4 linked regions of the Schizosaccharomyces pombe genome follow. Changing the gene in region 4 together with the main gene of any one other region gives a genetic interaction. Each region holds a gene or a part of one and is shown on either strand. Other genes may lie near its edges. The genes, in order: knk1, SPOM_SPBC1348.07, pfl9 and klp3.

Region 1 (7,344 bases), on a different chromosome or scaffold from region 4:
TTTTCAGGTGTCAACAACCGCTGATATGCAAAGGCACGATCCCTTAAATCCTGATTGCTTGATTGATTAATTGCATAATTTAATACTTTCTGTACGAGTTCTTCATCGTTTCCTTTGCCGTTCATCAAACTCAATTTTACAACAGCCGTCAGTAAAGCCAATTGAATCTGTAAATCTTCATCCGCCATAGTAGAAATCATTTCGGATAATAGTTTAGAAGAAGTAGGTATAACGTGTGAAAATTCCCCTAAAATCCAAGCCATACTACTACGGGCTCTAGGGTCACCAAGCTCCTCAATGACACGAGAAAGATATGGAAGTAATAAGTCAATCTTTTGAGGGTATTTGCGCAAAACCGTTTCCATCACCACCGTGACTTCTTGAACCATATAACTAATATTTAACTCATAGATTTCAAGAAATATGGAGATGCAATCATTGATGACGCTTGGAACTTTCAATGCAACGTCTCCAAGGCATTTAATCGTTTGTTTCACAAATTCTAGTTCAACTTCGGAAACGTACGCTCGAAGCTCGGAAATGGTCTCGTTAATGTTTTCGTCACATGCAAGCATTGTAATTATCTTTAGTTTCTCCATTTTAATATAAAGAGGATCATTATATTTGCAGAAAAAAACCCGAGTTTTGACATCAAAAATAGAAGGCCTCTTTTGTAATATTAAATTAATGTTCCGTAAGGCTACATACTGGATTTCTGAGTCCGTAGAAAGTAGCGTCAAAAGAGGAGGAGCCATTTTTTTGTACAGAAAGTCTGTAAAGTCACTGGAAAAGAGAGGGATATGTACCATTATGACTTTCACAGCGGACAAAACGACACCACTATTTGCATGTTGGAATTGAGGAACCACCCTTTCACAAACATATTCAGCTTCCTTGATATCAGAAGTGCGAAATCTAGCTAAAGAATTCAAAATAGTAATCCGACCCCACTCATTACACTCACTCAAAGCAACCATTAGCCTGTCTGTCATCGTGTAAACTACATTAAAATATCCCTTTTCAGGGTCCTGATCATGAATTTCAGCAAGTGAGCGGACTGCATTAGCCACAACCACAGGATTCGGATCAGATACCAACGCCTGCAATTGTTCGATGAAACCATTTGATGCACAGTATTCTCGATCAAGGTCATACATCTTTACAACACAAACCGCTGCAGCCTTACGAACATAGGGATGCTCATCCTTCAAAGCTTTTCGCAACGGATCTGCCAAATAGCCAATGATTTTATTTACCCGAATGCAACCCATAGTTCTAATTGCCAGAGCTCGTAAAGTAGGATTATATTCCTCAGAATCCTTTACAAAAGTATTAACGGCTAAAATACAAAGATCAGGGTGTGTTTTGGCATAGTTAATTAGATATAAATAAACCAGTTTTTTCAAGGTGATATCGCGAGTAGCTAGGTTCTTTAAAACATCGGGAAACAGACTAGACACATCCTTGCCAACAGTCATTGCGGCAATAGTCCGTTTCACAGCATCAATTCTCTCGTAGGCATACTGAGAAACTAGTCCCTTTTGTAATTCACTTGTTTCGCTTTTTTTAAATGCCTTAAAACGGCTCGATTGAAACAACTTTGGAACCATTCGGTACTATTGTATAATTCCGCTCTTTATGTAGCTCTTTTAAAGGTGGTAAACGTCCTAAGGTCAAAAACACGTTTACATATATAAAGCAGTGGTTCAATAATCATGTCAAGTCAAACCCATTCGGTGAGAAACACCCACTCCCAGAAGTAACAAAGGTGACAATATCGAATACTGAAATCCAATTTCTATATATTCATGATTTCATTTTCAACCTGCAATGCTTTAAACGCTACTATTATGACCTTTAAATAAATTTTAAAACATTTAATTCAGTATACAAACAAGAGGTTGAAATGTTATTTCAATAAAAGCTATAAGTTAATTGCCGTAAAAATGCGATTCAAGTAAAGCAATACCCTTTTCCAAACATTAAATAACTAATAATTATTGTTCAAAATTGGAGAATAGTGAAGGGAAAAAAAGTAGCCCAATAGGTTGAGGCTGTATGTAAACGAAATAAATATGACGATAAATGGAAAAAATAAAATAAAGAGAATTGATGGAAAATACAAAAGGGGAGCATTTGTAAAAGGCGCTGTCAAGTCGGCTATGATTTAAAATGTCGTTTATAGCGATAGTCAAATCACGAATACATTTTAGTTGTTGTAGGAAAGACGAAAATAAAATGAAGGTAAACAGAAATTAAAATTCGTAATAAGCCAAGTTTATGCAAAAGAAAGTTATTGAAACCACATGAAAATCAGCATCCACGATTCAATCCCTAAATGCACGGTAATTCTCATAATATCCAGAAAAACGATACCCAAATGATTCGTTAAGAAACATTAAAGGATAAAATTAAAAAGAGAGAAAGGAAGTTTGAATAAATTAAAGGATACCCTGCCTTTTTGATGCAAAAGAATATATGATTTCTTGAAAATATTAAAGGTAGAATACTCTACAAAGTTGTTTTAACGTTGCGAACCAAATTGTTTATTCCACTCTTCGTAACGATGAATACCCTCTTGTGAGACACTTGGACGAATAGTACGAAGGCTAGCTTTAAAATGATTCAAGCTGATCGGAGGTATCATCTCTGCACTGGTGGTAAGTAGAGCATCACCCAAGTTTCTTAAAGGACCCATTGCTGCGTCTTTGGCTAAAGCAGTGATATCAGAGCCTGAATAACCTAGATGGCGTTAGTTAACTAACCAATCGAATTATTTATATACATACCTTCGGTAAGATTGACAAGTTCTTCCAGATCCTCCTCCGTCAAACAGTGTACTTGATTATGAAGCAAATGAGAAAGATGTTTATATCTTGTTTCTTTTTCAGGTAACGGAATATAGGTTCTTTTAACGAATCGGCGTCGAGCAGCCTCATCAATACACCACGGAAGATTTGTAGCTGCCAGCACCAAAACACGGGGAGAGTGACCAGTTTGCTTGTCCGGAGCCGCATTAGTTAACGAAGACCATTGAATTAAAAATTCTGTTTTTAATCTACGAGAGCTCTCGTGCTCATTACCGCTGTCATTACGAGCGGAAAGAATGGAATCAATTTCATCAACAAAGATAACGCTACATGTCTGGCGCTTCGCAACTTCAAAAAGGGCTCGAACCAACTTTTCAGAATCACCAAGCTAAATCAAGGTTAGTTAAGAATGGGGTTAAATATAAAACTTGCTTACATATTTCGAGGTTAATGATGAAGCCGAAATCGAAAAAAATGTGGCTTTCGCTTCGGTCGCAACAGCACGAGCAAGCATGGTTTTGCCGGTGCCAGGGGGGCCAAAAAGAAGCATGCCTTGTACGGGTTCACGCAATCCTTGGAAAAGTTCCGGGCGTAAAAACGGATAAATGACTGCCTCTTTCAAGGAATTTTTAGCGTCATCTAATCCGGCAATGTCCGACCAGTAGACAGGTTCATGGTTAGAAATAATTTCATTCATAATAGCATATTCAAAATCACTTGAAGGAGTGGTCTGTTGAAGAGGTTCAGTTTGTTGAGTAGTACTAGCTGAGATAGTTTTTGACACAATTGTCTTAGAATCAGCGGTTGCCGGAGGAGATGTAGCAGGTGATCCGGCTGTGTCAGCGGAAGACGGTCGAGTGGAAGAACCAAGGGTATCATGAGAAGAGTTTAAGTATGGTTTATATGGGCTAGGATGCTTGCGCGATTTTCCATCGCTGGATGAATGCGATGCAGACGTAAGGGGGACGGCAGGAACATGGAGTGGAGGAATTGGCGCATGGAAGGAGAGGGGAGTGCTATTGTTAGCATTTTGATTGTTTGACACCTGAATAGAAGGGCTAGATACCGAATTGGAAAGCGTCGGTTTAGTCGTAGACTGACTTTTCATAGCGGTAGGAAAAGTGGTGGAATTCATGGTAGCAGAACGACCTGTATCAGAAGAAAGAGCAGAAGCAGAAGCGGCAGCACTCTTAGAAGCAGCAGCAATGGCCGAAGCAGAAGAATTGAAAGAGGCAAAGGGATCTTCGGGTTTGAGGGGTGGAGAACGGTTTGGCTTAGAGGGTGCCAGATAAGAAGGTGCATCTCCATAGGAAGAAGAAACAATGGATGAAGTGGAGGTAGAAGGAGGCGAATGCTTGGAATATATTTGCTTAGGCGTAGATAAATTTACCTCCGACTGCGCACCTCTCGTCTGTCTGTACATCATCCTAGTAGTCATGGGGGTATACGCAGGTGTTTGAGATCTTACTGGACGTAAGGGGTGAAGATCAACGGGCGCCTTCTTTGAAAGTTTGGCTGCAAGTTGATAATTTTGCCTTTCCATTTCACTTTCCAAAATCGTCTTACGCAGCTTGCTTGCCTTGCTCAAACAGTTGTCATAGAGCCCGTTCCAAGAACATGCCTCTGCGCCCGTCAAAGGTCCCAATCCCATGCGATCGCGAGCTGCCGACGACTTCTTCATCTCCTCTAAAACCTTGCAGTAACTCACATACGCACCAGCCCAATCCCTATTTCCTTCACACAATAATGCTCTTGATGCTATCGGTAGTATTCTATCCAAGTCTGAGTCCATTTTCCGCAGTCGACTCGTCAATGGCTTTTTTGCTTTTGGCAAGTTCAAATGTCAAAAGTGCTGTCTTGTCGTTAAAAATCCCATAGAATGTTCGAAGTAACGCTGTTACTTTTCAGCCACTGGTTTTCTTTCATCTCTTCAAAAGCTATTTGATAAGGAATTCGTATTGGAGAAAATCATTTTATTCATAGATTCAATAGATGAGTAAATATCTTTCTTTCACACTCTTTTTTTTTTCCCGCTAATTCGCAAATCCGGAAATTTGTTTACAACAAAAAACGTATTATTAACGATATTAATCATTTCATCGCTATGCTAGTAGTGTGGATTAGAGAGCACTTTAAAATCGAGCGCCTTCGACTGGCTGAAAAACAGAAGCCAAGCGGTTTTCGATGAGAACAAATTTGCGAAAATTTAAGTATCTTTTGATATACCTACAAATTCTAAAAAAAATTTCTCTAGTTGAACTTAACGCTCAAATAGAGCTTTTTTTAAGAATACTTGAGGCCCGGGAGATGTAAACAGATCAGCTATGTCTGAAAGGAACGGGATGGCACTTAATGTTGATAAATTTTTTATTTTTTAAATTCTTGAAGTGAATGGTGAAAAAAGTCGGGCGCCTAATCGTTAAAAGCCTTCAAAAGTCAAAATGTGATAAAACAAATATGAATGTAACGTTTTGTACTACAATGACAATAATCTTAGCAGGCGAATCGTTTTGTAGACTAGAAAAGTACGTAATTTATTTTTATTAAATGATCCTACAAATACTAAAACTTGTAAAAATGCTTTTAAGCAATTTCTGATCAATTAAAATTTCACGCATGTCAAACCATTTAGAAATGTTTATGTTGTTAAAGCAGTGTTACAAAGCTATTAAAATACCTAAAAAATATCAACAATGTATTCGTAAATTCCTAGAACCAATAATTGTTCAAGTAAGATGAGAAACTCTTGGAAGATCAACACATATAGAGGATTCCCTGAAGCTGTTATATTAACTTCGCCAAAAAAAAATTAGTTGTAGTATAAGATTCATTTACTTATCTAAATATTCTGCTTTTGAGTATTCAACCAAGTAGCACTTCTCCCATCGAATATTGAAGCAATTTGGAAGTATAAATTGTTTTGATTATTGTGTCGTATAAAAAATGATACACGGGAGAGATGCATATGCAAATAGATCTGTGAATTTTATTGTTAACTGATTTGATGTATAAGCTGTTGTAAGTTTTGATAATGAATTTGGCCTCTGAGGAAGATGCTCAATATCCTGCTTGACTCAACAGAATTCTTCAGAAAAAATACTTAAGATCAGAATGGTATGAAGAAAAAACGATAATTAAAAAATGTTTTGTTTGTTTACAAACTATTTAATGATTCTTCCGTTCTTTGAAATAAACTTATCTGATCAAAGCGACGTCATATCTAAGCGAAATCACGGTAAATACCATGATATACAAACCATCCCAACTCTAACTTCATCATTTAGTTACTTTTGAAAATAAGAAATGAAATGATTCAGTATGTATATTTAAAACATATGAGGAAATTATGGAGTCTTGGAAAAGTCCGTTCGACTGTTCTTCGGTTTTCTACTACGAACCGCAATGCTTCACATTTAATTAAAAACGAGTTGGAACAAATCTCACCAGGGATTCGTCAAATGCTGAATTCAAATTCAGAATTTCTTGAAGAGTGTTCTAAATATTATACCATTGCTCAAGGAAAACAAATGCGTCCTTCTCTTGTTTTGCTGATGTCCAAAGCTACAAGCTTGTGCCATGGTATTGATCGGTCCGTAGTGGGCGACAAATATATTGATGATGATGATTTAAGATCATTTTCGACGGGTCAAATTCTTCCTTCTCAATTGAGATTAGCACAAATAACCGAGATGATCCATATAGCAAGTTTGCTGCATGACGATGTGATTGATCACGCTAATGTCCGTAGAGGCTCACCTTCAAGCAATGTTGCTTTCGGTAATCGACGGTCAATCCTTGCGGGTAATTTCATCCTTGCACGGGCTTCGACTGCTATGGCCCGCCTTCGAAATCCCCAAGTTACGGAGTTGTTAGCTACAGTGATAGCAGACTTGGTTCGAGGTGAGTTTTTGCAGCTAAAAAATACTATGGATCCTTCATCTTTGGAAATAAAACAATCAAATTTTGACTATTATATTGAAAAAAGTTTTTTGAAAACAGCCAGTTTAATTTCCAAAAGCTGCAAGGCTTCTACAATCCTCGGACAATGTTCTCCTACTGTAGCAACAGCTGCTGGAGAATACGGTCGATGCATTGGTACTGCTTTTCAACTAATGGATGACGTGTTGGACTATACGTCGAAAGATGATACTTTAGGAAAGGCGGCTGGTGCAGATTTGAAGCTAGGGTTGGCTACAGCTCCCGTCCTCTTTGCATGGAAAAAGTATCCAGAACTTGGTGCAATGATTGTGAATAGATTCAATCATCCTTCTGATATCCAACGGGTAAGAGAAGCTGAAGTTTTATTTATTTATTTGATTTCCTTTTCTCTATCGTTAATTTTCAATTGCTAACATATAATTTAGGCTCGTTCTTTGGTTGAGTGCACTGATGCTATCGAGCAAACCATCACTTGGGCAAAAGAATATATCAAAAAAGCCAAAGATTCCCTTCTGTGTCTCCCTGATTCACCTGCAAGGAAGGCACTTTTTGCGTTGGCTGATAAAGTAATAACGAGAAAGAAGTGACGAGTTTA
Region 2 (5,172 bases), on a different chromosome or scaffold from region 4:
CTTTTTCCATATTTAGTCTTTGAAGAAAGCGAAGCAATTCTTATACTACTCGTCTTTAACGAGTTGCATATATACCGCCCTATTTTTTTGCAGTTTCCTTTAAAAAATCTCATTAGAATGTTTCAATGCATACTTAATAAATCAATTTTATCAAATGCTTTGTTGTGAATATATTCTTAAAACTCATTCATTTCTTGTAAAGAAATCTTTCTTTATATGAAATTTGAAATATTCGAAATTTCATCTTTATAACTAGGTATTTCTCAATACTTTTACATAAATTAAGAAGGGAAAAAATTTGGGTTTCCTTTTTAAATCAGTTAGAGGCGAAACCTCTAACGCTTTTCATGGCTTCGTGTTAAATGTGTAATTATTTTTAAGAAGAAATACACACAATTAACAGATGTTGCATAACATTACTTTAGATTTGAATTTCACCTCTTAGATATCATCCATTCACATGTCAAGTAGGTGCAGTTTGTGGTTAACATATATTATTACATCTGTATTTAACAAAGTCTAGAGCAAAGAAGATATTTTCAAAATGCTGGAAGGAGAAATTTAGAATGTATGACTTACCTTGTGAAACCCTAGTATATTACGTTTTCGTAGTAAAACTAGTGGCAGGTGAAATTTTAGAGTAGTTTGTTGACGAATGTTTGTTTCAATTTTATCGCTTAAAAATTAAATTTGTTTTAGATTCATCTATTTTCATTATAATTTTTCTTTTTTGTAACATTATTCAAGTAAGGTTATGTGTATCAAAACAATAACTTCTGACTAACTACTCGAATAACAACCAAGTATTCCACTATGATTTTTAATGATGAGCCAATATTCAAGATTGATATAATTTCCAAGAGATGTTTACAAATTCCAGTTTATAATTCCCTTACGCTTTTCTTCCTCTGTATCTCTTGAAAGCCCGTTCTACTGCATTTGCTAAAAATGCAATAAATGTATGAAAGTTAAACTCAATAATCAAAGTCTTTATGTAGTATTACAGTTATGAATTATTGCGACATTTCATCTTCAGCCTTACTCAAAATCTGAAGGATTCAACATATGGCAATTTATTTGTTTTTATCATGGGAAGCACTAACGATGAAAACATCAATAGACCATAAATCATCATTTCTATATGAAAATGTAATATAATTTCTAATACAGGAATTCCTTCTTATACATTTATTTGTAACATTGCTTCATGCTTTTTTCCCTTTCATTTTCAGTTTTCTTTTGTTCCCAAATCCCAGAGCCATAATTTAAAGAAAATATGAACTGGCTAAGCGGAACCAAAGTTTTCAGTACAATTGATCTAAAAGAGTTAGTCCGATGTATAGACTTAGTCGTTGATTCCTATTCTTTACTTTTTCGCAAGAGAATAAAATTTAGGTAGCGAACGATGTTGTAATTACATACGAATATAAATTTTTCAACGAGATTTTTTTTTATTTTTATTTTTATTTTTACAATTTTAACACAAACAAATCTATAGTCTTCCATTTCTTTTTATTTACTTTCGCAAATACTCACACCTTAAACATGATTTTTCGTGTCAACTATACTTAACTATATGCTTTATAATGCTGCTACGTAGTTAGGTTGTTCATGTTTATAGCTATTGTATGCGTACGATGTTTTCAACTATTATTTTATAAAATCAGCATACTATAGATCGAGTTTGATTGTACTACCATACATTATTATCATTATCAATGTGTCGTTAATAATCCTGTATACTTGCAACCGTGATGATGAACAATCCAACATAATTATTTACACACAAATCATAAGAACATGATTTTCATTGCAATTTATGGTATCCTTAACACTATTTACAGACTTTGAAGGGAACCGTATATTAATGCAAACTAAACCAACTTCGTTATATAGGAATTGCGATAAAAAAAGTTTGTAAGTATTACAAGATATTCACATCATAATGTTTTTCCCAAATAAATGAAACATCTCAGAACGTAAAACATTCACCAATTTTGATCTTTTTTTAATTCTTTCGTTTATGGCTTTAAAATGTTTTATTATATTTTCTTATTATCTTCCATAAACCACACTGTTTAATTTTACATTGTAAAACATTACTAGTGGTGCTAAAGCTATCAAATTGCAGTGCTGTGGTTTTATTCCAATGTCAAATCCAGAAAGCGCAAAAAAACAGGTTGACCCCCCCTGGTTACAATGAGTTATTTATGGTAAGAGATACTCGTAATGTGGACCTGGAGCGGGGACTTGAATTGTGTAAGCCTGAAAAGGTAAACAAACAAAATCTCTTTACCAACATCGTCAAGCCTCAAAAAGATAAAATAAACATTAAGACAGATAAAATAAAGTTCTTTTTAAATAACCTTTTTACTGAATTTTCTAAATTTCATGATAGTTGTTATCCTGATGGTAGGATTTCTACCCGCAGTAAACTTCGTTGGCCCTTGCTTATTATTTGGTGTATTTTGATTGTTTTCGCAATAGACAAGAACTTTGAAGTCAAAGATTTTCTTTCAATTTGGATAAATGAAAGTTTTATAAATGAAAATCGGTTTTACAGTGAAATTTGGGGGCCTATTGCTATTTACATTTGTTTGTTTATTTTATTGTTGCTTGGTTTAATTTGTATGTTTCCTTTACAGTGATGCCTTTTTTTTACTAATAATTTAAAATAGACTGCTCCAAGATTGTTGTAAAAGCTATACCATTGATCAGTATAGTTATAGCAGCGGTCGTAGTAATTATCGCGGTGGCTATGGTTAAAATTTTATACATCTGCCATTGGCTGATCTACAAAATTTTAATTTTGGCTTTCGGCATAAAAGTTAAGCCATTGGGAGACACTCTTCCTACACATAATGGAGAAACAGGATCACATTCAAAGGCAACAGTTGGTTCTGACATTGAACAAATAGAATTTCAAAATATGCCCACTCCTGTGAAAAAATAATTTTCTTTATCGTTTTATGATCGAAAAGAATATAATCATCCTTACCAATATTTTACTGACTGTACCGTCCTAATCATGCACTAAAGGTGCGTCTGTTATGAATTTCAATTATGGAGTCAACCTAATTACGGTTTTTAATGAAGTATTATCACTTGATGTTACTAATGTTTTATCTTTCGTTTCAAGTTTAATCAAATACTATGAATGTCATTTACTGCGTCACAAAATGAATTCTTAATGATACATCATGAATGACTCGTTTTTAAAGTTATGTCTGAAAACTTGAAAAATGCAGCATATGGAAATTGTTAGATCGATTGATTCATTAGCTCAATAAATTCTTAAATTGCAAATTATATTCTGGCAGCAAAAAATCGAGTTATTCAGAGTCTTTCAAAAACTCTGTTTACGTATTGACATACACATTAGACTTAGCTTTTCAACAATATACTGCTGCTACAAAAAAATAATTTTCCTTTTTGGACCGGCTCGTTGCAGACGAAATTTTAATGTACTACCTCTTGACCTTAATCGTAAACGATAACTAAAAGGTATTTTTAGCTCGCCATATTCAATAACTGCCCTTTGAGCGTAATAAGTGAACAAAGGATTTAAGAATAACGATTTAAAATCTTTTTTAGTTTTGTTTTTGAAATAAAATAGTAATAAAATATTAATTGAAACTTAAACATCTAACATATTAGCTACTAATTCATCTTTTACTAAACTATAAGAAAAACTTTTGACTTTCAAAAACATATTTTTAATAGTTGTTGAATAAATGCTATTCAATTTACCTCGCCATTTTCCCAATAATTTTATGCGGTTGAAATCAATAAAATACATGCAAAGCTTCCTACATGTAAACTTATTATTATACTAAACGGGAAATCAAAAACAATAAATCGAGTTCAAGTTGACTTTCAAATATCACAAAACTCCATTTCATCCACTTTATTCCCAAATCAAACGATATACCCACCACGAGATCGCATTTGAGGTATTACTACTAGTTGACTAGGTGTAATGTTCAGCTGCATGTTCTTGCATCCATTGTGTCACATTCAATTCGGTTGGCAGGTATATACTATCGACTATAGTATTATTCGGTCCTATTGCAGATACATTCAAGGTGAAGTCACCTAATACTGGAGCACGGTCATAAAGTGTCCAAGTATCCGGAGATAATGAATTATCCCAATTAGCCAAAGCGTTTAGTGAGGCAATAGAAAAGGATATCAGTAAGTTTCATTTTGTAGAAGGTGATTAGAAATATTGTTGATGTGTTTAACAAAATGAGTAGTTTCGGCTGTATAAGGTTCACGTTAAGTCAATTTATAACATTGTATTCCACAAAAAAATAAAAAATAAGTGAGGCATTTTTGCACCTGGAAGTAGAAATCTATAACATATGATGCTTTTTGTACAACCCCTGGAATGTGTATTCCTTTGCGTAATACTACTTGCAGTACAGTAGAATTTTTAAGGTAGAGCAAGAGGAAGATGATGCTCGCTAAATGCTACTGAAAAAACGGGTGGGTTCATTTGATTTTCGAAGCGCAAAGATGCCCACTATACCTCGCTATTTATTGAACGAACATATATATATATATATATATAAACGGTTGCTAGTTTACAGAAATAAAATTATTTTCAGTAACCCATGATATGTGTTGCGTTAAAATAACAAAAATTAAAAAATTAAAAAATTAAATACTAGCCAACCCTATATTAAGAAAATGTATATATATTGCAGATCATTTGTATCATCTCAGCAAATAACTTACGGTCCCACACACCTTAAATCTGAATGCATTCTTGACCTTTGACATATTAGAAATCCGATTCGTAGCTCAAGTACCGATTTAATTATTTTCTGAAATTTTCAAACAATTTTACGACAATTTTTCCGTTGGCCCGTTTACACCGCCATTACCTTGACCAAATGGTAAGAATTGTTGAGTGCATGTTTTCGTGTAAGAATAAGAGGTAGTAGCAAGTGGACCCGTTGAATCAGAAGTAAAGTAAAAATCAAATCCACCGATATATGCTCCATTTGCTACAACAAATCTAACGGGCAAAAAGTAGCCTTCAGGATAATTGCCTACAGTGAAATTTCCCATGCCCACAGTTCCTAAACCCATATTAGGCGACTCATGCCAATAAGAATACGCATCAAAGTTATTATTGGACCAACCAGAAATAGCTTTATCACCAAA
Region 3 (5,657 bases), 820 kb from region 4:
ACCCCTTTGCTTCCAACAATGCGTGTTGTCCTTTTTAGTAGTCAATCATACGATAGAGGGCCTTTTGAAGAAGCTAACAAAACTTTTAACCATGAAATAATATATCACAATTTTTCATTGAACAAAGATACAGTTTCTTTGGCAGGCAAAGCACAGGTGGTGTGTGTGTTTGTGAACGACCAAGTAGATGCTGATACTTTAAAAGCTTTGGCAGAAAATGGTGTTAAGTTGGTCGCTCTTCGTTGTGGGGGGTACAACAACGTTAATCTAAAGGCAGCGTCCGAATATAAAATAACTGTTGTGCACGTCCCCTCCTATTCGCCTTTTGCTGTGTCTGAATTCACTGTTGGTTTACTCTTGTCTCTTAATCGTAAAATTCATCGTGCCTATGTTCGGGTGCGTGAAGATGACTTCAATATTGTCGGACTACTTGGATGTGACATACATGGTAAAACAGTGGGAGTGATTGGTACTGGGAAAATCGGGAGTAATGTTGCAAAATGTTTTAAAATGGGTTTTGGTTGCGATGTATTAGCTTACGATATCAATCCGGATAAGAAGTTAGAAAACTATGGAGTTCAATTTGTTGAGCAAAATGAGGTTTTAAAGAAGGCTGACTTTTTATGCCTCCATTGCCCATTAACGCCCAGTACAACGCACATTGTGAATTCTGACTCCCTAGCTTTAATGAAAAAGGGAGTAACAATTGTGAACACTAGTAGAGGAGGTTTAATTGATACGAAAGCGTTGGTTGACGCCATCGACTCCGGCCAAGTCGGAGGTTGTGCAATAGATGTATATGAAGGTGAAAGAAACTTATTTTATAAGGATCTTTCTAACGAAGTAATAAAGGATTCTACGTTTCAACGTCTTGTTAATTTTCCAAACGTTTTGGTTACCTCACATCAGGCGTTTTTTACTACAGAAGCTCTCTGTTCCATTGCACATACCACATTGAAGAGTGCGTCCGATTTCTATACTAATAGTCTTGATGAATCAGTAATCGCAAATAAATAAGCAAATTAGTATTAGTCTCTTGAATCAAAAGTGATAATGAAGATATAATTTTTTAGCGCCTTTCATATACAAAATAGTTTTCTTTCAATTCAATAAAAATTTCGTGAGTACTTGAAAATGAAATGAAAACTTTTGTTCAGTATTATGCTGCAATAATTTACCTACTGCTTGATAGAAAATCCACCATTTACTATTTAAAATAGTTGCTACAATAATTTTTAGTAAATAATTGGGTAAAACTATAAAAAGGTAAAAAATTTTCTAATTATTGTGAATTTTGTTTTTTAACCCATATTCAAGAGATTAGTAACGTTATTCTATTTCTACAACAATATAGTTCATTTCTTACAAAACGAAGAAATAAAGTTGAAAACAATAATCTCATCCGACCTAGATACACTATTTACAGGCAACGCAGCATATGGTTTAGATTTTTTTTTAAATTTAGAAACATTTTTAAAAAAAACTGTTTTGATTTTCTTATCCTTATTGCTTACAATTATTAATAAGTAAAAGAGACTTTCCACAATTTAAATTCTTGCTTAAGTTTTCTTTTTTAGTAATAATGAGTAAAAAAATTCTGAATGGTCTAATATTAAACTCAAAACAAGCGCTAGACTAGTCTAGCTCCTTATCTTTAATTGTCATTTTCCTTATACAAAACTTGTCTATAGTTACTATTTAGATCTAATATTTTTTTAAGTGATTAAATTTCACTTAAGGAAATTATAACCAGTTTATCCAAACTTATCTTTAAAACCGGCCACCACTATTTTTTACGAAAAGCATAATCTACAAAATTTACTAAAATTTATCCTTTCCTGTTCAATTTTAGTACGGTTTACCTAAACCTAGTTATTTAACAAATATCAATGATTACTATGAAAGCAATTAATTTGAACTTAGATTAAAATATGCATTCCTAATACCACTAGTTATGATTAATTTAAAAAAAAAAAAAATAAATAAAATACAAATTTTGTTTACGAAAGTAATAATTGTGCCGATAACTTGGAACAGTATTTTATTAGTAGAGCAATCAATTTCTAGTGGAAAAAATAATTAAGAACTATTTAAATATCCCTATTTTCAGTTTACAGCAGAACTTGAGAAAAATATGAAATCCGAGGAAGTCAACTTCTTGACATCTTCAATAGGGATTGATAAAGGATTTCATGGATTGTAATTTTAAAATATTATATCAAATGAATGTAAAAAAAATTATATGTATGACCTGAAATACAAAAAATTAAACGAGAGTATGTGCAATTCTAAATTTGCTGCTTCAACTAATACAGTTGAAGTGTAACATCATTGGCCCTAAAATTTCTTTCGTCGGTTGATGAAACTTCTGTATCATATTCTTGTGAAGTCATCCATACTCTTCCATTGTTATCTACATGAAAGTGTAGTGGCTCATTATTTCTTGATTCAACAGGAGTAAATATGCCATCGCTATTTTTAATGAGATTCCAAGCACTTGAAAAACCATTGCCTATAATTGGATCTTCAATGTATACAGTGTAAGACGGTCTTTGACAATCACATGTTAATACTCGTTGAATAGTGGAATCATAGTAGAAAAGGTTTAGTCCCTCGTTGTCTCCATTAGTTGAAGCAAACATATTCCCCTCTCGACCGGCACCATTAGTTCTCACGGGTGCGTTTGGATCCATGTACACGTAGGAAGGGCTGATTTTATCATTGTCTATTTTAAGATGGAATGAATTTTCAGGACTGCATCCACAGGACGGTGTGATAACCTCCACTTCACCTGACTGTGTTCCAGAAGCTGTTCGCACTGTAGTTGTTGCGACAGGATAACTGGATCCAGAAGTCAATGTAGTTGTGAAAGTACCAGCAGTAGGGATTACCACTTCAACGGTATCAACAGGTGTGTTTTGACCGGTAATGGTAGTAGTATAGAGTTGCGAACCAGATGTTATAGTAGTCGTAATAGTGGATGTGATGATAGACTCAGAGGATACCGAAGTTTCATCGATATTGTTGCTAGATACGCCAGATGTCGAGATAGATGTTGGATAAATCGTTGTAGTTCCCGGTGTTATACCATTAGTGTAAATAGTAGTGAATAAAGGGCAAGCTGTTGAAGAAGCTTCACCGCCTACTGAATTGGTATCTTGACTTGATTCAAGAACAGCTTGGTTTACGCTTCGCTTTTGTATCTGTGTAAAATTATATGTGTTCGCGTTAACTAATAACAAAGGCGCCAGAGCAAAGCTAAAAATTATGTACTTCACCACATTCATTGTTTATAGGAGAAAAATTTTTAACGACTTCTGATCGCTAAATATGAACCGAAAAGACGTGTGAGAAGGCCTGTTCATTTATACAAAAACTGCGCATATAAAACCAGTACCCAAAATTTCGGAAACCCCCTTATTGTTAATCCCATAGTTATTTTTATTCGAATTCTCAATATCAAATTAAAAAATTTGAGTTCTATAAAAAGATCATTATCGGAACTTCGAAATTAATGTAGTCTACTATTTATACTGCTTCTGAGAAACTTAGTTACTTTAAGACAAGGCAATGCACATTTGTTAACGCGGCTCGCATGTTTTCGTAGTAATTCACATACCGATCGAGTTCGCAATATATGCTAGCAACAGAAATTGACGCCTCTCGTTAATTTTCTTAAGAGTCTATTATTAACCTACTTCTCTTTCAGTACAGTCGCCTTAATGAATATTTTTTTGATAAAACTACATTCATATTATTGATTTGATACTATGTAGCAAATTTCTTATAAAACACCTATACTCACTGCAGACAGTCTGGAGGCAACTTAGCACTGAAAACATGTGATTCGAAAAGGTAGTCAAATTTTTTTGTTAACATTTTAATTACTAGGTTGTTAATACTGAAATAAAAAGATGAAGCAAATCAAAACATACCTATCATTTTCAAAACATTTTAGAGTAGTTAAACCGGCATCACTCATTAATAGCCATGAAAGCTTTGGCTTATATAAACCAATATTGATGCAACGAGCACCGATTAAAGCTACAAGTGAATCGAAAAGCTTTTATCAATCGACTGCCCTCCACAGTAAATTGAACTAATTTCAAAAAATTAAAGAGTTAGTTATTATAAAAGACTAGTTTTAATTAAGATGTTTAACGGTAGCAACTTAATGCATGCCGATATAGATATATATATTAATGATTTAACGTTACAGTTGCTGAATAAATGATTAACTGATATTTTTAAAATTATGAAAAAAATGAAAGCATCAACTACATGATACATAGATTGAATAAATAAACCAATATATATCACAAATTTATTCAGAGTGATAAACCGACAAAGCATGTATATTTATCAGAACAACCATACAATTGTACCGGCAATAAAATTAAATCATATAAAACACTAATTATTCTCTTGATACTTTGCTGCGCATTCCAAATAAAGAAATACACGAAATTTTCCCATGATATTTACACTGATATTATTTCGGACGAAATGTCAGTCATTTTAACCGAACACTTTACTAAGAGACAATGATTTATCGATTGCATTTCGTTCGCTTATCATTTAAAGTTCATCTATGCAACTGAGGACGTTTAAAATTTAGCATTTTAAAAAAAAAATTTATTCCTTTTTTGAGACATTAATTTATTAAGAAATACCACTCTTAACTTTTCTTCTTTGCCTGAGCCAAATATCAAAAAAGAAAAAAACTCCATATGATTTAGGTTGTTTAATGAAATTTCGCTAGACAATTCTTAATTGAAAACTGCTCGGCTATTTTATTGTTTAGCATTGAGTTATTTTTTTATAACAAAATAAAGAGCTGAATCCATACTTAGCGTTGAAGTCTTCTTAATTTTTATATACGCTAAGACATACTATTAATATTTGGAATGTCAATATAGTCCAGATCAATGACTTTGGACCTGGTAAATTATTTGCAATTAGTATACTATTATTAGAAATATTTCATCGTAACAAATTCTATGAATCGGTATTTGTTTTTAAGTACGTTTGATAGAATTGGATAGTATATTTACAGGTATAAAACGAATCCATTAAGGTTTTGTCTTCAAATAACACCAAAAACATAAATTCTGTAACAGACTACTGAGTACTTCTGCATTTTATTTCACAAACTATCGAAAAGCTGTTTATACGAACCTTAATGCATCAAATTACAATAAGATTGAAAAAATTTATCAAATATTAATTGACCAGTTCAATCAACTTAGCATTAAAACTTATTTCTTGAGCATCACTTCTTATTGTCAATACAAAGGATTAACGCCTTTCCTCGTTTTCTCAAAGCTTGAACTTAAGTATCCCACTGTAATCCATAATTCAATTGTGTTCCCGTTAAAGTACGTCCAAAGATTGAAACTTCACTAAATCCTAATACCTAGCTGTTTAGCTCGAAATTCGGATAAGAAAAAGGTTCATCGTTAAAAAACGATCCGCTATATTTAGCAGTCCCGTCACTTCTGTCATCTGGACCCACGGGAACGGCGTGTGATACCTACCCGCTAGGTACAAACGGTATATTGTTTAGCGTTCATAAACCCTTACAAACCAAACTATATAATCTATTAAAAAACAAAGCAGATTCCCACAGAACACCCTCGGGTGAGCAAACTTGGTTT
Region 4 (6,817 bases):
TATACGGATCATAATGGGAACCGCCATCGTAATAACATCTGAGTTGCCAAGGAGTATTGTATATGTCAGAAAGGTCACGCGGTTCTACAACAGATATTTGAGTGGAAAAAAACTGCTGAGCGAAAAAGTCAATAATGTTTTTCCAGAAATTCATCAAACCGGTTTTAAAGACCAATAAGCAAGCCATTTCATACACATTTCCAATGGTACGGTTACGCTTCTCCTGTAACTGCTTAAATAAGTTAGCGGATGAATCTGTTTCAAATGGTTGCTCATCAGTTAGTGAGTGCGAAGCAGAAGTATTATCGTTGTTCAAAGCATTTCCACAAGAAGAAACGGATGGAGCAGGTGAATGGCATAATGAATTTAGTGATTCCCTAGATTTTTGAGGAGAATAGCAATCTGAACTCATTGAGGAGGTTTTAAATAACTCATTGGGACGTTTGGATGTCATCAATCGATTTGGATTTACTCGGGGAAAATTAATAAGTCGCTCATCCTCTAGTGAAGGAGAAGATACATTATTGAAAGAAAATGAATTTCGATGCTGCCTATTTAAACTGGTGGGAGATTCAAGTATCGGAGAATGAACAGAGCCAACAGAAGAGTTTTGAGAATTAGTAAACGATCCTACAATTTTTGATGATTTTTGCAGCTGGTGGTCCATGGCCTTATTCAAACGTTAGTAATTTAAATTAATTAAGTAACAAGAGATATCACATTTTATTTCATATTTAAAAAAGGAGAATCCAAGTATTGAAATCACTTACCTCTTTCAACTTTTCCAAGTGAGAATTAGAACCAACGTTATTGTTGATTTGATCGTCAGGTGGCCTCATTTTTTTAGACTAAATTTACAGGCCAGTATAGATACTAAATAAAACAAAGTTTCCAACTGTAATTACCAAAAAGAAAGTGCTATCTTATAAAGATCGTTTCAAATAAAAAACTGATGTATTTGAGTTATTTGACCACGGCAACCAGCAATGGAAATTATAAGCGTACCATTTAAAACGCTTTTTTCCTAGCGACTTTACAGCACTGAAGATTGGTAAAAAGTGTTCGAAATAGGGAAATGAAACAACTCAACAAGTTGTGTTAGCAAAATGTAAATGGATATTGAAGATCGCGTAAATGTTGTTTAGCGAAGATTGGTGGCTAGTAAATATGATCGTTCTGTTAGAAACAAGTCACTACACTATACTGTGCTGCGTTAGTTCAACTTTTCATAATATTCATGATTCTCCGTATTTCCATCCTTAGTGTAAATCTTCTATACTAGTAGTTTTATAACAATGCATTATGTTGATACATTCAAACCTTCTTTCCTGACTTCAGTTATAAGCCATATATGTGTGGTTATGTTAGTGTATTCAATATCATAATTATATTGATACAACATTTTACCATCTACGATAAACATCCTACATAAGATTATATACATCGCAAGTAACACTTAAACTACAGTTCGTTGTAGCTTAAAAAAGGTAATGATTGCTTAGCCAATAGTCAATCCTTGCTAAAGAATAGTAGTCTCAGATTACTAAATTCGCTGATTATATTATAACGGTAAATTTTTATTGAATTGTTATTACATCATCATTTGAGATGTTACACATTTGCTGAATAAGCATATAAACAATGCATTGCTGCGTAGCTGTTTTCTTTTATATTATAATGCTGCAGCAATATAAAAGAAGCTGCATAAATAATTAGTCAGAAAATTAGTTTATTCAGAAAGCAGCTAGACGAGATGCAATATTTCATGATTAAATGTGAGCTCAACAACTCTAAAGAAATTAATTAAACATATATAATCCTTCGCAAAGCAGAGTAAAAAAGTGTAGCTTTTAAGTGCCCCCTTGAATTTTCTTAATTACTGTTCCATTTTGAGGTCGCTCTTTGGAAATTAAAGCTTTAATCAATTTTCGTTGAACATTTACTAGAGCAGCCAGTGAGGAATCCAAAGTACTCAGTTTTTGTAAAAAATTGTTTCTCTCGTTATTTATCGAAAAATTTTTATCTTTCTGTTCTATTGTAAAACCCGGTTTGTCATTTAATGAGTTGTTTGCAGTAAGATTTGAATTTACTCTGTGGTTTTTAACAAGCTCAACATACCGCTCCTGAGCATCGCCCAATGCAGTCATAAGGTCTGACAATTGCTGTTTAGTGGATGATAAAACACCATCTCGTTGTTTAAGTTCAAGTTGTGCTTCAGCATACAAACGATTGATAGAATCAGAATCAAAGTTATGTCTGTGTATCGAAGCAACTGTGCTTTCGTCTCTGTCATTATTACTTTCCTGAATTGTTCTATTTCCTTGAATGATTTCTGCTTCCTTTAAGTTGGATTTTTCGGCGAGATTTGACAGTGTGAGGGAATGCTCGCCTGACCATACGTTAGAATGACAATTATTATAGTCTAAGTTATTGTTAATTCTGGCTCCACAAACGCAACGAGACAAAGCATCTTTATAAATATACAGCTGTCTTTTCATTTCATCAACAGAAAGTTCTGAGTTTACTACCGCTTTGTTTTTGATGCTCTTTGCACGATGTCCAAACCTAAGAGTAGATAAGGTCTCTGTTGCATTGTATGAATCTGGTGAACAGTTAATAATTAGAGTGGTCCGAGAATTTCCACCAAGAGACTCTTTTAAAATACGCGTTAACTTGGAATCTCTATAAGGAACATGTGATAATTTGCTGTCTGTGAGAGAATTAATAACCATTCCAAGAGTTGAAAGAGAACGGTTTATTTTCTTTGCTTCTTCTAAGGTTTGCCCGACTGCTCCACTTTTTCCTACGCTTTCGGAACCTGCCAAGTCAACTAAAAACAACCGGCCTCGTCGAGTTTCGCCGGACTCAGTGTCCGTTTGGACAACTTCGAGTACAAAAATAGAATGAGACCGTGAACTTTGCGCATTCATCGACGTACTTGCAACGGCACGTGACCCCATACCTTTATTTAAAATATCCAATGCCTCCGTTTCACTTGATACGTAAATCGTTTTTAAACCTTGAACATAAACTCCCTGAAGTTTATCTTCATGAACCGTCAGTCTGTCATTTTTTTCTGTAAATCATGGTTAATTTTGCTGAAATTAAATACGAACGTCGCAAAATTTCTACGGCATTTGAAGGCTTACCGGAAAGTAGATCATGAATTTTTTCCATGTAGATTTCCATGTATGATACCTTCACTTCGTATTCAGTAGTAGATGGTGAATCGCGGATTTTGTCAAAAATACGCCTGAGCATTCTTGGAGTCATTCCTTCTTTTTCGAAATTATTTTCAATACCCTAAAGATTGTTAGAAAAGTGTGCCAGGTGAAATTGTGAATATACCATCATGGTGTATGTTTTGCCGGATCCTGTCTGTCCATAGGCTAGTACTGTTCCGTTATAACCCAAGAATAAGTCTATAATATATTAGTACATATTTAATGAAATTCAGAACAACTTGAATGTGATTCGAACAATGTATTAAAATGGCAATTCGTTTCAAATGAAGCGTCAAAACGAGCGCATATAAAAAAAGGCTATGCTATAATTTCATACAAGCTGTTGCTGACAACGATGAAATTAATCCGTTCAACGCCGTGTAAAGTTTTACTATCATTCACATACCATCGACTGTCGATTCAATTGAATACGAAAATATATCATTCTGAGTGCTAGAAGGATGAAAAACACGATCGAATACAAAGTTTCCTGAGTAATCACTAGTCTTTTAATCATGTCAGCCGAATTCTAAAGTAAAGATCAATTGTTGAAACCTACCTCGATATGAACAGTAGAATCGTTTAATGGGTATATCACATTATTTCCTCCAAGGTCTTGTTCCAACTGGTTCGTGGGCCGAATTCGGCACACTACTTTAATTGAAGTCATTGAGTAAAACTGCTTTATAAAAAGATAAAAAATCAAATAATGTATGATTAAAACGCAGTATATAAATTAGATCCATACATCCAAAAAAATCATTAAAGACAATATGTGAGCGGGCTAATTTCATATACAGGGAAAGACGAGGTTAACCTAACATGGTGCCTCTACAATAATTGTTGTTTAAGGCAACGTATCAAAAACAGAATAATATCATGTAATTAACTACATAATTGTTTAATGTTAAAGCTCGAAGTGTGAATTAAAAAAAATAAATTTACAAATCAACAGGCTAAAATTGTTTACTTCCTTCTACATATTCTTTTTTTCCTGATATTATTTGAAGATTTACACATGTATAAAATTCTTAAGATTGTTCAATCTTGATTCATATTTTAAGCAGAGTATTTTACCCTTCGTCTGATTAATATCTGTGACGAAAATTGGATTGCAATTTCTCACATATTTATTTATGAAAATTTGATTAAATGGTAAGAACGAGAAACCTCGCAGGTATTTATTTATTTTTTTTTTTAAATTAAATAATTTTTTTAAATTGTGAAGTTTATATGGAGATTTGGATGTATTTGCAATTTACAAGTTTATCCCAGATACTATTTCAAACATTAGCATTAAAAAACGTTTGTTTTACTACTTTGTATTTCTACTAGCTATACCAACCTACCAATTCATTTACCGAAGAGAAAAAGGTATGGAAAATGCATAATTCATAAATAGATCTACTTAGTACACTTGCTATCATCTAAATGCACCTGCGTTTCAATACTTGATTACTTATGTATAATCGAGATGTAACAACCCCCACATTGGTATCACTTCAGGTATAAGTAAAGGTAATTTGAATACTCAAGAAGTGTACCTTAATAGTATTCAACTGAATATGAAAATAGACCCCCACTGTGGACCATCGCCTGGCACCCACTTTACTTACCCTGTCATATGCCATAAGTTTTTAGAGAAACCGAATTCCATAATTCCGCATGTCGTTTCTGTTCAATAAACGACCAAAATCAACCCAAGATGTTGTTCGCTGCTTATGTGATAATCTCCCAAAGTTGGAAATAAACAATGATAAAAAGAAGGTATTAATTATTAGTAATTGTTGTTTTTGTTCGTTTAGATGACTAACGTAAACAGTCCTTTGAGGAAGTTTCCAAATGTTTACAGAATTTACGGGTTTCATTGTGTGGGACAGCTGAAGTAGAGCCTGATGCTGATCTCGTATCAGACTTATCTTTTCAAATTTACCAGTCGAATTTACCTTTTTTACTCGTTCGATATTTACCGAAATTGGAGTTTGAGTCTAAAAAGGATACAGGACTAATATTTAGCGCTTTACTTAGGAGGCATGTAGCATCGAGATATCCCACTGTTGACTACATGCTTGCGCACCCGCAAATCTTTCCAGTATTGGTCTCATACTATCGATACCAGGAAGTAGCTTTTACTGCTGGTTCTATCCTTCGTGAGTGTTCCCGTCATGAAGCCCTTAATGAGGTACTTTTAAACTCACGAGATTTTTGGACATTTTTTAGTTTGATACAAGCCTCTAGTTTTGATATGGCGAGTGATGCGTTTTCGACTTTTAAGGTACGTATTATCCCCAAATAAAACTTCTGTCGTTGCAATGTTTTTATATACTCCCGCTAGTTTTGCATTTACTAACTTTAATCAGTCTATTCTTCTTAATCATAAATCCCAAGTTGCTGAGTTTATTTCATACCATTTTGACGAGTTTTTTAAGCAATACACTGTCCTTTTGAAATCTGAAAATTATGTTACCAAACGTCAATCTTTAAAGCTTTTAGGGGAAATTCTTCTTAATCGTGCTAACCGTTCAGTCATGACACGCTATATTAGTTCTGCTGAGAATCTGAAACTAATGATGATTCTGCTGAGAGATAAGAGTAAAAACATTCAATTTGAAGCTTTTCATGTTTTTAAATTGTTTGTTGCTAATCCTGAAAAGTCGGAAGAAGTAATCGAAATATTAAGGAGGAACAAATCAAAGTTGATTTCTTACTTGTCAGCTTTTCATACTGACCGGAAAAATGATGAGCAGTTTAATGATGAACGCGCATTTGTAATAAAACAGATTGAACGCTTATGACTCTTGTTACTCACCAATGTGCTCATGTCTTTCAAAATCATGCTGTTGTCCATCCTATATTTACAAAGGAAAAAAAATTGTAGATTAGATTTATTAAATGATATATGCGAGTTGAAATATTTGATGCATGAGATACGGATGCTTTAGATATTAGCATTAGGTTAATTGCTAACCGATTCCATGAATAAAAGAACTTTATTATTTCATGTACTAAGACTTCCTAAGATTGTCTGACATCGCCAAGTCAACCGTTTAGATAGATTATTTGACACTAATTATTAATTAAATATCTGACAAATTGGAAAATCAAATGTAAAATAACTTCGCATTTTTTCTATGTAATTGAGTTTCCACAGCCTTTTCTTTCTTCTTAGAGAATTTAAAGCTTTGGACATATGCTTGCAAAGACTTTTACAATTTTTAGTAATAACAACCTAAGAAAGGCTTACATACACTCTCTTAAAAATTTTAAGCTTGTTGTTTAGAGGCACGACGCAAATTTGAAAAATCAATCTTGACCGGCTTTTTCACCAATATCTCATATCGGCCCCATTTAGGCTCAATAAAGGGGACAGCAAAAGCTCTGCCCATAAAAGGAGTTTGTTTCGTGTCAATGAAAGGGTACACCATGACTGGAATCCAACCGTCAGACTTTGAATATATCGGTTCGTTGACTGTGGCCTTCGAATGATCAAACTCTAAATCTATTAAAAAATCGCAAGACTCAAGAGAAGTATAACGAGTTGGCTCTTCATTATTGAATTCATTCATGTGTTCAGGGATCTGATAGTAGCCTTC

Evidence for each region.
Region 1: mutations in klp3 (region 4) and knk1 together harm fitness more than expected from each alone (negative genetic interaction), as found in Schizosaccharomyces pombe (one large-scale study listed by BioGRID).
Region 2: mutations in klp3 (region 4) and SPOM_SPBC1348.07 together harm fitness less than expected from each alone (positive genetic interaction), as found in Schizosaccharomyces pombe (one large-scale study listed by BioGRID).
Region 3: mutations in klp3 (region 4) and pfl9 together harm fitness more than expected from each alone (negative genetic interaction), as found in Schizosaccharomyces pombe (one large-scale study listed by BioGRID).

Annotation. Positions count from the first base shown.
Region 1 is NC_003423.3:678,025-685,368, forward strand, and holds knk1 (AAA family ATPase), read right to left. Parts: upstream 4,643-7,344; 5' UTR 4,603-4,642; coding exon 3,247-4,602; intron 3,215-3,246; exon of another isoform or gene 3,199-3,214; coding exon 2,790-3,198; intron 2,743-2,789; coding exon 2,525-2,742; 3' UTR 1,879-2,524; downstream 1-1,878. Other genes in the region: AP-1 adaptor complex beta subunit Apl2, read right to left, coding at 1-1,610; decaprenyl diphosphate synthase subunit Dps1, read left to right, coding at 6,119-7,093, 7,175-7,336.
Region 2 is NC_003423.3:17,431-22,602, forward strand, and holds SPOM_SPBC1348.07 (uncharacterized protein), read left to right. Parts: upstream 1-2,210; coding exon 2,211-2,628; intron 2,629-2,678; coding exon 2,679-2,953; 3' UTR 2,954-3,176; downstream 3,177-5,172. Other genes in the region: SPOM_SPBC1348.08C (glycoprotein), read right to left, coding at 4,849-5,172.
Region 3 is NC_003424.3:5,525,322-5,530,978, reverse strand, and holds pfl9 (DIPSY family glycoprotein), read right to left. Parts: upstream 3,288-5,657; coding exon 2,307-3,287; 3' UTR 2,020-2,306; downstream 1-2,019. Other genes in the region: SPOM_SPAC186.02C (hydroxyacid dehydrogenase), read left to right, coding at 19-1,017. UniProt on the Schizosaccharomyces pombe protein: May be involved in agglutination during conjugation or other aspects of colony formation. Induces flocculation when overexpressed.
Region 4 is NC_003424.3:4,703,992-4,710,808, reverse strand, and holds klp3 (kinesin-like protein Klp3), read right to left. Parts: upstream 4,032-6,817; 5' UTR 3,895-4,031; coding exon 3,784-3,894; exon of another isoform or gene 3,731-3,783; coding exon 3,631-3,730; exon of another isoform or gene 3,423-3,630; coding exon 3,349-3,422; exon of another isoform or gene 3,304-3,348; coding exon 3,150-3,303; exon of another isoform or gene 3,077-3,149; coding exon 1,851-3,076; 3' UTR 1,557-1,850; downstream 1-1,556. Other genes in the region: phosphorelay sensor kinase Mak1, read right to left, coding at 1-670, 771-839; mo25 family protein Pmo25, read left to right, coding at 4,890-4,991, 5,047-5,499, 5,585-6,019; mannosyltransferase complex subunit Alg9, read right to left, coding at 6,488-6,817. UniProt on the Schizosaccharomyces pombe protein: Cytoplasmic motor that could play a role in Golgi membrane recycling.